2 linked regions of the Arabidopsis thaliana genome follow. The protein of the gene in region 2 interacts with the protein of the main gene of each other region in a pairwise test. Each region holds a gene or a part of one and is shown on either strand. Other genes may lie near its edges.

Region 1 (7,551 bases), about 14 Mb from region 2:
GGATTCTCTGGATTCGCAGCCCATTTATCAGAAGATGAAGCTCATCTCATAGCCAAGCAACCGGGAGTACTATCTGTCTTCCCTGACCAGATGTTACAGCTCCACACCACACGTTCATGGGATTTCTTGGTGCAAGAAAGTTATCAAAGAGATACTTACTTCACCGAAATGAACTATGAACAAGAATCCGAAATGCATGAAGGAGACACCATTATCGGCTTCCTTGATTCAGGTGAGCAGTATGAAGTGATGAAATATTTATATGCGCTTTTTATCTACTTCCAGTAAAACAAATACTCAATGCAGCATATCCTGATGGAGAAAACAGGAATATGGCCCGAGGCGCAGAGCTTTAACGACAGGCACATGGGTCCAGTCCCAGAGAAATGGAAGGGCACTTGCATGAGAGGGAAGAAGACACAACCTGATTCTTTCCGTTGCAATAGGTAAGCTGAGACTGAGGAAAGTAGAACACATGTAGAGATCCGATATATGTTTGAATTTACCACCTCAAACTTGGATAAACAGGAAACTGATAGGAGCAAGGTATTACAATTCGTCATTCTTCTTAGACCCCGATTATGAGACACCACGAGACTTTTTGGGGCACGGGACACATGTGGCATCAATAGCAGCAGGGCAAATAATAGCAAATGCGTCCTACTATGGCCTGGCAAGTGGAATCATGAGAGGAGGTTCACCAAGTTCAAGAATAGCTATGTACAGAGCGTGCTCACTCCTGGGATGTCGTGGCTCGAGCATACTAGCTGCATTTGATGATGCAATCGCAGATGGGGTTGATGTTATATCCATATCAATGGGCTTATGGCCAGACAATTTACTTGAAGATCCGCTTTCCATCGGGTCATTTCATGCCGTGGAAAGAGGGATCACTGTTGTTTGCTCTGTAGGAAATTCTGGCCCATCGAGTCAAAGTGTGTTTAATGCTGCTCCATGGATGATCACTGTTGCTGCCAGCACTATTGACCGTGGCTTTGAGTCCAACATTCTTCTGGGAGGAGATGAAAACAGATTAATCGAGGTAAGAAGGAAAAGCCAATCAACGGACAAATCTCCATTCACATAACATCTTAAAGAATTTCTTTTGCAGGGTTTTGGAATAAATATTGCCAATATCGATAAAACACAGGCTTACCCACTTATACACGCACGATCAGCCAAGAAGATTGATGCTAATGAGGAAGCTGCTAGGTAATAGTTGCCTCGTAAAATTATAGAGTAACTTTGCTATACCTATACTAACAAGACAACACAACTGCAAACCTTCAGGAACTGCGCACCTGATACACTAGACCAAACCATTGTTAAGGGAAAGATTGTTGTGTGTGACAGTGATCTTGATAACCAGGTGATCCAGTGGAAAAGCGACGAGGTTAAGAGACTTGGAGGTATCGGTATGGTACTTGTTGATGACGAGTCAATGGATCTGTCTTTTATTGATCCCTCCTTTCTAGTGACAATAATAAAACCAGAGGACGGCATACAAATCATGTCCTACATAAATTCAACAAGGTTTAAGATGTCTCATTTCACAAGACATTGCTTTCAAACAGAACTAATAATAATATTTTTACCCAAAAAAAAAAAAAAAACAGAACTAATATATCATAATCCATATTGTAGAGAACCAATTGCAACAATCATGCCTACAAGATCACGAACAGGACACATGTTAGCTCCATCCATACCATCCTTCTCATCAAGAGGTCCTTACTTGCTTACCAGAAGCATCCTCAAGGTATAAGCCCTAATATTCATCATAAACATGATCTCAACAGTATTCACAGAAACTTCAAAAACAAAATATTGATAAACCTGTTACAGCCTGATATTGCAGCACCAGGGGTCAACATACTAGCATCGTGGTTAGTCGGTGACAGAAATGCAGCACCAGAAGGCAAGCCACCGCCACTCTTCAACATTGAATCAGGGACTTCAATGTCATGTCCCCATGTCTCCGGGATTGCTGCTCGTCTCAAATCCAGATACCCTTCATGGAGTCCTGCAGCAATCAGATCTGCCATCATGACAACAGGTGAGAAATCAAAATCAAGTAGATACCAGTTACGGATGATTGATCAGCTAGAGTTAACCCAAGTCAACTGTATCTGCAGCCGTGCAAATGACCAACACAGGTTCCCATATAACTACAGAAACAGGAGAAAAGGCCACACCTTATGACTTTGGTGCTGGGCAGGTTACTATATTTGGACCTTCATCACCAGGACTGATTTATGAAACCAATCACATGGACTACCTAAACTTCCTCGGCTACTATGGATTTACATCTGATCAGATCAAAAAGATATCAAACCGCATACCACAAGGTTTTGCTTGTCCTGAACAAAGCAACAGGGGAGACATATCTAACATCAACTACCCATCAATCTCGATTTCTAACTTCAATGGAAAAGAAAGCAGAAGGGTAAGCAGAACAGTGACAAATGTAGCATCACGCCTCATTGGAGATGAAGATACAGTCTACACTGTGAGTATCGATGCACCAGAAGGATTACTAGTCAGAGTTATACCAAGAAGGCTACACTTCAGGAAGATAGGAGATAAACTCAGCTACCAAGTGATCTTTTCATCTACTACAACAATACTCAAGGACGATGCGTTTGGATCTATAACATGGTCTAACGGAATGTACAATGTGAGAAGTCCATTCGTTGTAACCAGCAAAGACGACAACGATAGCGAACGTTAACGATAATCTAAAGAGAACACATTCATGTATAAAGAGCAAAAAGATTAAGCAAGACCAACACTTTCTCTCAAATATTTCTCATAAAAACCAATAGATGTTGTTAGTAGAACAAAGCATTAGGTTTTCATCGACAAGGACAACTCCAATCGAAGAGAAAAAGAAAGAAAAAAAAAACAATCCGAAATCTTGAAAGCTAAACACATCTAAATAGAAAGACTAGAGATTCCTAAACACCCTTCAGATCCGATCCAATCACTCGAACGCCCACTTGTTCTCATTGCGAACCTCCGCCTCTTCCTCAGGTGTGTAATCGTTCTTGATGTTGAAGTGTGCACGCATCTGCTCTGGAGTTTTGCCTCTCATCTGATCAGCCACGGCCTTGCACGTAAGGTCAAGAAGTCCACCGATGTTCAAATAGTTCGCAGCCTGTACAAACCAAAGAACCAAAACGATTAGTCAAATCAAAACGACATTCAACACACTAAAACCCTAACAGAATCCTGCAAAATCAAACCTAAATCCCCAAATTAAAAACCCTAATTCTAACAACATCAAACCTAAACAATGAAAGCGACTTTACTAACCAAGATGAGATCGAAGAGAGTAGGCTGATCGACTTTGACGAATTCGCTGTCCCAATTCTTAAGCTCGTCGTTCTCAGCGGAACCATAGAAATCCTTGTCTCCACCAGCTTCAGCAGCGGCTTCAACGTGCTTCTTGCAATACTCAATAACCTTGGCGAGGATGGCTCCGGTGACATTGGGAAGTGGAATTCCGTTATCGGCACAGTCGTCCTCAATCATGTGCTTAATCGTCTGGGACTTAACAGCGACGGCTTCCTCGATCTCGAAGGATTCACCGTCGGAGCTCTTAAGGATGATCATCTTCTTCGTTTCTGCCATCGTAAAAAGTGACGACTTAGGAAAAGTTTTTGAAGGAGAATCGGCGCTGCGATTGATTGTTGTGATGGTGTCAAGGTTTGGGAAGTTGGAGCCTTATTTATAGCCAATTTCTTAATTGGTATTCAAGTCGGTTTATTGCTTTTAAGTTTTTTTTTTTTTGCCGGCTTATTGCTTTTAAGTTAATCTACTCCTTTTACTAATAGGAGAACAGTAAAAAGTAAAACAAATATTGGAAATTTAAGTTTTTAAAAAATGGAAAATTTATGTTGTTTTAAATAAAGTAAATATTTTTACTTTTCCACAAACTTCACCTTAGCTGTATTCCGTTAATAATATTTACTTTTTCAGATTTACATCTGATTTCAGAAAATACAGTTTATCTACGTGTGCAAAAATCATTGACTAGGGTTTTTATGTTTTAATCAAAGAAAACCTCCACGTTTGTATGTAAAAATCTATGTGAAATTATGAATTATTATTTGGGTATTTTGTAGTGAATATCAAGGAAAATGTAAAAAGTAGGTAACAAACACCACAATTTTTGGGAAAAATATTGCGTTACACTAAACAAACCAAAATTAATAACATATTTATTTGTGTTGTATTTCTCTCATTTGTTGATCTTTGTATTTGTGTTGGATGGAAATCTTTTATCTTCTTCTAGTATTTTTTTCTTCTTTTCCAAACACATAACTTTTCTGGTTTGGTAAACTAAGAAGCACCAAAATTATTGCAAATGAAATTATCACTGATTCTGATTAATTGATGAGAACACATAAATCAAGCTTAACAATAGAGACCTACAAGCGGCTCATCGTCGATCGAGGAACTAATCATATTCAAACCAAGGTTCATGGTTCTCATGTCTAAATATAAAAAAGAAAGAGAAAATTAGTGACTAGGCGAGGTTGCTTTGGATGGTACTGAGGATCTAAGGTAGAACAGTTTTATAGGCTTTTTCAGAAGGATGGGCAAAGTCCCAGAACACGTGACTACCAGATCTTAAACACGGAATCGGAGTCATCACCGAGCAACAACATGGTTTTGCCGTCGTAAACCCTGAAATGTATTACAATGTAGAAATTAGCACCCTTGTTTTTTCTACCATATATATTCAAAATTTGCGTGTGTTACTCAATGTTTTACCGTATTGGCTAGGATTATTGATGACCTCAAGAAGTGAGTTATACATATCGATGTAGACGAATTTGCCATTGGGAAGCCTTTGGTTGTACTGATTGACCAAGTTAGCTACTTTGTCATTATAAACTCTAGCACCATAGTTTACATTCGGAAGACATATCAAATTTCCGGTAATTTGTCTCGCCCCTGGCAAACACCCTAACGGTAACGTTCCAAGAATTGCAAATTTTCTAGCTCCTAGATCATATAGACTCTGTTATTCATACAAAATAATCATTATAGGTAGAACAATATTATGAAGAAAAAAAGTTATAAATAAATGTGTGTTGTATACATTTATGAAGGTAGTTTTCCAACCGATGAGCATATCAGTGTATGCTTGGACAGTGTATCTCGTTTGTCTCTTCGGAGTTGAAAAATATGTGATGGCAAGATCGTTATTACCAGCAGACACTAGAATCACAGCATTGGCTATAATCTCTTTGACTTTAGCTGCATCTCCAACTTGTTGGTTTAACTTTTCTAAGTATCTTTGAAAGTCACTCACCTGATCTTGTACCCATATAACCCCCTATATAGTTTGCACATATAGTAAATGAGTAAGAACATATATTACTTTATCTTATTGAAAGTAAGAAGTACATAACAAGTAGATTTACCTGTATAGATGCAGTGAATTTGTCTAACCCTGAACCACCGGATGCAAAACAAACGCCGGTAGCGAGTTCACTATTTTTAAGAAATGGGCTCCGGAAAGCAGGTAAAAGATCTTTTACCCCTAAACCGCTGGCTACATACATATATACCATGTACATTTTCATTATAGAATGATTCTCGAACTATTTGATTACTCATTAGGTTAAAGAATGTGAAAGAGAAAATTGGTCTTATATATATATGTTGTATAGAGAACAATTAGTACCAACTAAATCTGATAGAACTCTTCCATTCCCGAATCTTCCTGTAGGAATACGATGAGGAAAATCGCGTCCATATGGCAAAAAATTGCCTCTTGATACTGTCATGAGCAAATTGTTGTTACCAGTATCGAGAATCGAATCTCCAAATGCAAGAACTGCTGAAAATGTTCCAGTTTGAGCTTGAACACATGAAATCCATATAGACAATAATACTACTAGAACTTTGATGTTTGCATTTTCCATCTCAAATAAATTTTAGGTTTTATTTTGTTAGTATTTTTTTTTGTTTCGAATTTTAGTTTCAATTTAGTTTTTCTTTTTTTTTAAAGAATTTGTTTACTTTATCGTCATACTTTATACAAAGGTGAAGAAGGGTTGAGAGAGTTCATCGAGTCCCTTGAATAATGGTATGAAACTTGTTTGTTTTTGTGGTTAAAGAACAACACTCTTCCCTGTATCACTGGACTGATAATATATATTTAGCCAATCCAGCAAATCAAGTCTTACCACTCAGTCTTATTCAATTATTTGACTGATTTACCCCCACAACAATGTGCAGATTAAATCATATAATTTGGTTATATTTCATGTTATCTAGTTGATTACTTTACTTCAGAGAGCTATAATATTATTACATCATCATGACCTAAAAAGAAAAAGATAATCATTACATAAACAGAATAGCTGTCGATCAAATGAACTGATTGATATGGATTTGATCTTTGAAAGCATGTGAAGAGTGATAAAAGTTTCTCTTAAAATCAATTGGTAATCAATATAGTGACTTACAATAATTTTGTACAATTTATAACAACTGCACAAGCTTTAAGAAAAATAAAAGCATACAATGTGAGTCATTTGATCACACTACTCAATTTAAATTGTGGATGTATTTCTCAAAAAGTATTTTGGTTAAGATTTTATAGAATCTTTGGGTAGGATGGAGACTATCCCAAAACATGTAAGCAGATACATTGGAGCACACAAATGTTGTGAATCGATTGCAAAGTGGACCAGCTTCCACAAATCCAGTTCCACAACAACCTCTCTTTATTTCTTCAAACCCTGCATTAATTCTCAACTCAAGTTATATATACATGAGCTTGTATAGTTTAGTACTTATAAGAATTAAATATTCACGTTCTAATATTACCATAATCTGCTGAATTTTCTAAGATGTGACTGAAAGCAGAGTATATGTCAATGTAAATGAGATTGGAATTTGGTAGGTTTTTTGCCAATTGGTCCAAAATGTTGGAGAGTTTGACGTTGAAAAGCTGAGAAGCATAGTTTATATCTTGAGCACACTCTCTACGAAGACCTCCTTTTAGAGTTCTTAGTATTGGTACGCAGCCAAGTGGTGGTGTTCCTAGAACTGCTATTTGTCTTGCTCCATATTCGTATAATTGCTGTTCAAGTGTATCCATATAGATAGGTTATTGTTATTAATTTATTTACGTTAGTCCAGTAAAGAAAATCTTTGTAAGGAAATTGTAATTTATGTATGTATGGATACCATATATTAAACATAATCATGAACAAATTTAGTTTAGTTTAAAACCTTTGTAAAACAATAATTCCTTTTGGTAGTAATTTCACATTTTATCCCAAAAAGAAAAAAACATTAATCATGACCAAATTCAATATTGTTGGTTGTCAAGTTTATGTACATCTAGTTATCTACATTATTATTCTATTGAGTACCTTAGATCTCTTTTGTTAAAAATTAAATTCGTTACATCAATAGCTATAATGTTTTTTACTAAGATTTTTTTTGTTTTGAACAAAAGTAAGATTATTTTTAAGAAGCAAAACTAAAGTCCTAACTTCTAACAAGTTAATTTTACTACCTTTG
Region 2 (7,298 bases):
TTAGAGCAATTTCAAAAGATAAAAATTCATTTAATTTTAAAATATCTAAATAAATATAACTCACTATGTTTTACTCCTGACTATTTTTTCTTTTTTAGTTACTAAAATATTAATGTATATTGTTAGTCTAGATACACAATGGTCTTAATTTTAATGATATCCAATACTTTAAGTTCACATGTGTCTTTAGTGTTCATATATGATATGGGATGATTACTTTTATAAAACACAAAATGAAATGGAGGAAAATACTAATTGAGAAAAAAATATTTCTTAAATACTAATTACAAAATTTGGATACATTAAATATAAAGATAAGAATTATGATTTTGAAAAAGTATAATAAGATATGTATTAATTAATTTTTTGTGTAAATGTTTATATAAAATAGGCTATATGCTAATTTATATAATTTGATTAGTCATGTTCAATGTATGAAAACTCTCTTCTATATATGCACATGTGTGTAAATATAGTTTTAAGTGTTAGAGATCAAAAGAGATTTTAAGCGAAAAGATTCTTAAACACTTAATTTTTGTCTTCGGAATTTAACTATGATGGGTTGTTGGTTAAAGCAGCCACAAGGAATCACAACTATGATGGGTTGTTGGTTAACGAAATCAAGAGAAAACATTCTCGACAAGTAGATTACTTAAATCTCTACATATCTATGTATTTTACATAAAACTTTTGTGTGTTTTATATATTTCTCTTACACTGATACTTTTTTTTTTTTCTCTTCAAATTTTCTCTAGTGTAATTGTAACAGATGCCAAGTTGAAGATTTCGATGAATTTTGAAGATTGCGCGAAAAAGATCAGAAAAGTTGCTTGCCAATTCGAAGGTAAGAAAATCAGAAAATTTTATTTACAATACATATATTTATTCACAATACAGATTTTGTATAATGTAACTACATAGTATCTACGTTTTTCTAAGTTGTACAATGTTGTTATTAGGAGTTAAATCATGCATAACGGATATAGATGATCAAAAAGTCCTGGTCAGTGGTGATTTCAATTTGCATAAATTGGTGAAGACTCTCAAGAAAAAAACTGGTAAAAAGATAGAAATTGTGACGAAGAATGAGAAATCTAGTGAAGATAAGGTAGATGATACAGTTCAAAATGAAGATAGTAAAGATGAAATAGTTCCACAAAATGCTGATAAACCTGAAACAAGGTAATTAATATTTACTAAGAAAATAGCAACAATATTTTAACTACTTGTTTAAGATACTACATGTGTTTTTTTCTTTTGTTAACCATATTGTATTAACTATTCTTAATATGATGTTTTGTAGTATAATGGAAGTGGAGTTCGATATACCATTTCTCTGCGAGAAATACGAGAAAGATTTTGGAAAAGTTATTTCCAAATGCACAGGTATAATATCTGTTTTATCAATTTCATATAATATATAATGTGTGATTTATTTTAATAAAATTGTCTGAATTATGTATGATTAGGTGTTGAAACATATGTAGTGGATCTAGAAAATAAAAAGGTTGTGGTCATTGGAAACTTTGATAAGGATGAACTGTCGAGAAAACTTAATAAGAAGATGCATCAAAAGATTAAAAAAGCTGAAAAGGAAAGACAGGAGTGGGAATCTGAAATGATGTTAAGGGAGGCTGAAGAAGAAAAAAGACTTGCAGATATTTATGAAGAAATCGACAAGGATAGAAATGTATCTCTCAACCCAATTACTGATTATGAAAAGGAGATGGCCAAACATTATTACATGTTTAGTGATGAAAATCCTAATGCATGTTCTATTTCGTAACATAGTCGAAACAAGTGTCCACAATGAAAAATACAACATGCTAATGGACCTTATGCATTTTGTGATATACTTTAATGTCTCATTCACCAAAAGTATTATGTAAGTTGGACAAAATAAAAGTATGATTTCATTTTAATCTTTTTATTATAAAGCTATATCCCATGAAAATCTTGAAGTGTGAGAGAAATTTTGTTTTTATCGAATAAGGAACAAGAGGAGCTTGGAGCTTAGACAGTGAGCAAAAAATTGACATAACAATAACAATAGCAACAAAAGAACATATTAGTGGAGCTAAGTCATCATCTCTAAGATGTGCCAAGTTCAAACACCAAACATTGCAAAAATACTTTTAAACTAGCTCAAAAGCGTTCTTGGGAGGCTCGATCCAAATGTTATCAGATGAAAGCTGTTTTCCCCAATCAAGATCATGCTCTCGCAGGTGGTACCTCCCTTCATCAAACGAATACACCACACTTTGTTTCTCATTGTAACACAACTCAGGGAAGTATACACTATTCCTTAACATCCCATCCTTAACATATGTTCTCGATTCACATGACTTCCTACTCACAAAAATAGTTAAACTACCGAGTGTATCCTTCTCCTCCCAAATACCTCGAGTAAGATCGAGTTTAAACACCAAAGGGTCCTTATTTTCATATGTACGAATCACAAGTATGTCACCTTTATAACCTACCATGAACTTTCCTTCATTCCAACTCTTATCATCGGGACATCTAGGTGGCGGTACATCAAGAACATTCCATGTACGTAAAGACGGATCAAAAACCGCAACGTGGTTTCTTTGGTTAAGACAGTAAAACACGCCATTTGAGAAAACAACATTGTTATGATCAACATCAAGGAATTGAGACTCAACCTGCATTGAAGTCCACATCGTTTGACCCGGACTCCAAGTACGGATAGTGACATGGCCTGGATCATAATCCTTGATAGTAAACACCACACACTCACTAGATGTAGGAGCAGAAGAGAAACCCACTAACTGATAATAAGTGAACAAGTGAAGAAAAGGCAAGGCTACAACATCCATAGTAAATGGATTGAACAAGACAAAGTGTGATGAATCTTCTTGGCTCATAAGTAACCATCCATCTTTCGAGTAACGAACAATAAAGCCAACTAACGATTTAGGCAGCTCCATTGTATACTTCTTGCAGTTCGATGGATCGTAAAAGTCGTAAGTGTTCTTGGTTTCAGGGAAGTACATGAGCCAAGGAGATTTGTCAATGACCCTAACTGAAACTGCGGCTTCGAACCACGATTTGCATACAACAGAAGCTCTTACGTTATCTTTGATTTCAAGAAAAGTCATTACTGAACTCAGAAGCTCTAAAGGAAGATCCTTCCACAGGTTCTTGGACCCTTCATTGGTATTCACGCTCATGATGGATCTGAGAATAGTTCATAAAACAAGATCGAAAATTGAATAATCAGATTATGAAAAGACAAAACTTTGATTGATTTTGGTTCATATCAGGCTAAGTGTATATCATTGAATTCAAGAATTCAGAATTGGGCAACAAATACGAAATTCAGATTGTTACTCAGATCAGATAGATGGAAATGCAAAACATCAAAATTGAAGCAAAAAGAGATAGAGATTAGAGGGAAAGAAAACTTACGATCTCAACTTCACTGTTCTTCTGATTGAAAGGTGAAGAGACGAGACAACTGGATGTATAAGTGATGAGTGATTACTATTATAATAACCAGAATAAAATAAAATGTTAAATATGTAGTTAAATACATGAAATACCCTTAAAATGAAAATAGTTAAAATATTAAATAAGAAAAAAATATAGAATTGTCTTCCATATTAGTTGATGATTTTTTCTTATTTATTTCTATCTTTCAACTCTTTTCTTTTTTGGAATCAGATTTCATTTTTTTTCTCAGTTATCTATTATTTTTAAAATTTGGTATTTAGTTTATGACTAACAAATTTTGTTTCTCACAAAATAATATACAAAACATCTAATTATTTTAAAAATATAATTAATGAAGATTTTACCATATTTTATTTATATATAATTTCCATAATCTAAGATTATATTTTGAAAAACTTGTCCCGTAAATAGTAGGGACATTATCTAATTTTGTATATAGTAGGGGATAATTCGGGATACCACATTTAATTTGACAATTGAGTTAATTTCATTTATAGTTTTGTTAGTATGGGAAATAATTATGTAATTTTGTATCTGACATTGTAAAAGAAACATGAACGGTACTATCTCGAGATATGTTTTGTTCGTATGCAGACAGAAAAGGTATTTTCAGTAAGAATATAAAAAGCAATAACTTGGAGGTTGTAGTAACCAATATCAAAGTTTTTATTATGAATATAGATTGTGTTGTATTATTAATGATTACAAGAGCTCTTTTATATACACGTTTCTACAGAGTACTTATAGAGAAAGATATTATTCTATACGAGATATTAACGAGAGTGATTGGAGGAGTAATCAAAGGAATTGATATATATGATTCTCCTTAATAGTTTTTACAAAGGTAAATTATGCTTTAGACGCTTTTTGAGAACAAGACATTGTAATTGTCTCTGTATTGATAGTTCATAGCAGAATAATTCATGACCAGAAACGAAGAAATGTAGTATCTTTCTTTTCTCATAATCAGCTCTTTTTCAATGCTCATTGACCTACTTCATCGTATTATTAGACAACAATAAAGCATATTTGAAATCATCTGAAGGGAAGGAAAAATAGTGAGCAGAAAAGTCTTAAAAGTCTTAAAATAGTGAGCAGAAAAGTCTTAAAATCATTTGATGATCTTCTGGTCATCATATTAAAAAGAGAATTAAAGGTAGAGCAAAAGCTGTATTTACTATTTAGCTTCCACTTTCATCTACGTTCAGTGTTTTTTTTTTTTAGGAGCCAAAATGTTATGTAATCAACAATCTCGTGCCAAGATGCTTATGTAATTTTTTTGTCGATCACATTATTTATAACTATATATTGATTCTAAGAATATAGTGATTTCATAGAAAGATGAGAATAGCTTACCAATTCCAAGATGGGTGTTAAAACTTTCATACCAGTTGATTCAGTAAACATTAACCCTCACAAGTAAATTGATTATTTCTCCCATGAAATCTTGAAGTTGTTCATCCGAGGTTTGGACATATTTGGATCATCCAAAAAACATGTTTCATGATGGAGCATAAGCCATGGCATGGACCAGCTGCAGAACGGATGGCTGAAGCTAGGGTTGTAAAATTTCAATGATCAGAATTCAGAAATTGCAGAATTTTGATGGAGATCCTGAGAACTCTTTCCTCCTTATATAAGGCCAAAAAATTCTATGAAGAATATGGATAGTCTTGTTTAAGGCGTTACAAAGAAAAACTCTAGAAGAAGGTCGATTCGGTTATAAAATATTAAGAGAGATATTATTGACTCCATGTGGCCAATAATTTATTTTTTTCATATGGTAGTGTGGCTTGTTAAGAGAGTGTTTTAACAAAACTTATGTAGATTGCTTGAAAAGCCTAACTTAACATTTATTGACCTAACAATTTATGATCATTTTCCTCCTCTACAGATAAATAGGTTCTTCATTATCTATCAGTGTTCTTCATTATAAATCAGTGCTATGTTTGTTGGTGTATAATGAAGAACACTGATATATAATGGGGGATTTCATCAGATTAATTGCTGATTCAAACTACTGCTCCTATGCTCTTTTTTTGGTTTAAAGGACACTGCTCCTATGCTTTTTCGGCGGCGCAATGGTATTAACAATGGTGCTATCGTCCACTATCTTAACTTGCAATTTTTTTAGGCATTTGCATCAAACAGAATTTTCACTTTGAAAAAAAAATAGTATTGGGTTTTAAAAATGTTACAGAATTAAATGCTAGTTTGTCTTTTAAGTTTGAAATCTTCTTACTTATTACTGTTTTAGGCTTCTTTCTTTTTTTTTGGGGGGGGGGGGGGGGGGGGGGTAGCAGACTGTTTAAAAGGTTTTAGATGATCTTTAACTAAACCGATTTGTTATTATCAGAATGTTTAGAAACAAACTAGCCCACATAAGTAATAAAACCAAAACAAAACATATCAAACCAAAAAAAATATCAGTATTCATCCGACATCCGAGTTCTAAACCAATATATAAACCAGAAAAATCAAAATCCTAAATAAGGAAAATAAAAAGAAAAAAAAATCAAACCAGAAAACCATTTTTTCATCAACGATACCAATTTATTAGAAGAATAAAATAAACTGAAATTATAAATCCAAACAAATCTCTAGAAACAGAGAAATGCTTGAAATAACATAACAACAAAACAAAGCTTGAAAACCAAGCAACGTTCAATATTCAGTTGCAGCAAAATAACAGATAGGAATAAGTACGTTCCACAAATGTTGCGTACTAAATAAGGTAAGAGAGTTTTTCCAGTCTTTGGTACCAAAACATAAACATAGTCTCCAAGTTTACTTGTCCAAAAGAGCCATTGGAAAGGCCCCTACTTACTTACTTCATGTCAGATTCCACAACAGTCGCAGAAACTTCTGCGTCAGTGTCCAACTTAATCCGTTTCTTTGGTTGCTCATCATCTTCTTCTTCATGGCTGGTACCTGAGCATTGACCTTCATCTAAAGACTTTGCGTTTTCCTCCTCTTCCTGTTTCTTCAGCTTCTCTATCACCTCCGCTACTTCTCTATTGACCTGTTTACACACATTTCACCAAAGAGATTATTCCTCAGTTTCACTTAGAATCCAAAAGAAGACATATATGATGATGATGTTTCACCTGAGGGTTCTGGACAAACTCGGCAATGTCCGTTGGGCAACAAGGGCACTTCATGACACTCTTTTGTGAACGTAATTTTCGTCCACCGCTGCCTCTCTCTCTCACTAGAGCTGTCCCAGCAAACTTCGATTCCAAACAAGCCTTGCAGAAGTTATGAGCACAAGGCGTTGTCACAGGATTAGTCATCACTTTCTGACAGATCTGGCACTTAAATTCTGCATCATCAAAATCCCAATGACAGTTGAGATACTAAAATAAACATTTTGGAAACATAACTTCTTGATACTATAAACATTTTAACTTCTTGGACACACTGACCTTTCAAAAGTCTTGCCCTCATGGTATTCGGGTTTGCCGACTTTATGGCTTCCCTCAAAAGTTTCCTCTCCTCAGGATCCAAAACATTTTTAACTGCCTTTTTACTAGCAGGTGGTGGCTTCATCCATCTCCAACGATCCTCACCTTCCTGATCGAGTAAGCATATAATAAGTGGGTACGTACAACTACAAATAAAGAAATGTTAGATGTCTTTGGAACTTACATCAAAATCCCATGATGGACTTTCTTTTCTCTCAAACAGGTCTGTGGCCATATTAAGCTCAGGAACATTAGGCAAAGGTCTTGGGCGATCTCCATGCTCATCACTGCAATATAATATCACATCATTAAACAATACAAATGGTATATACATATATAAAAGGCGCACGATGTCAC

What was found.
Region 1: the proteins of AT1G57790 (region 2) and SK4 interact in a two-hybrid assay, tested with the Arabidopsis thaliana proteins (2 studies listed by BioGRID).

Annotation. Positions count from the first base shown.
Region 1 is NC_003070.9:6,982,512-6,990,062, reverse strand, and holds SK4 (SKP1-like 4), read right to left. Parts: upstream 3,752-7,551; 5' UTR 3,634-3,751; coding exon 3,316-3,633; intron 3,158-3,315; coding exon 2,984-3,157; 3' UTR 2,732-2,983; downstream 1-2,731. Other genes in the region: AT1G20150 (Subtilisin-like serine endopeptidase family protein), read left to right, coding at 1-232, 329-446, 529-1,042, 1,112-1,212, 1,291-1,533, 1,645-1,759, 1,846-2,056, 2,136-2,731; AT1G20135 (GDSL-like Lipase/Acylhydrolase family protein), read right to left, coding at 4,565-4,692, 4,780-5,029, 5,111-5,347, 5,436-5,566, 5,699-5,939; AT1G20132 (GDSL-like Lipase/Acylhydrolase superfamily protein), read right to left, coding at 6,568-6,761, 6,850-7,105. UniProt on the Arabidopsis thaliana protein: Involved in ubiquitination and subsequent proteasomal degradation of target proteins. Together with CUL1, RBX1 and a F-box protein, it forms a SCF E3 ubiquitin ligase complex. The functional specificity of this complex depends on the type of F-box protein.
Region 2 is NC_003070.9:21,402,443-21,409,740, forward strand, and holds AT1G57790 (F-box family protein), read right to left. Parts: upstream 3,515-7,298; 5' UTR 3,433-3,514; intron 3,202-3,432; 5' UTR 3,195-3,201; coding exon 2,136-3,194; 3' UTR 1,900-2,135; downstream 1-1,899. Other genes in the region: AT1G57780 (heavy-metal-associated domain-containing protein), read left to right, coding at 558-643, 756-844, 963-1,182, 1,304-1,386, 1,470-1,786; VIM5 (zinc finger (C3HC4-type RING finger) family protein), read right to left, coding at 6,305-6,499, 6,585-6,799, 6,903-7,050, 7,126-7,228.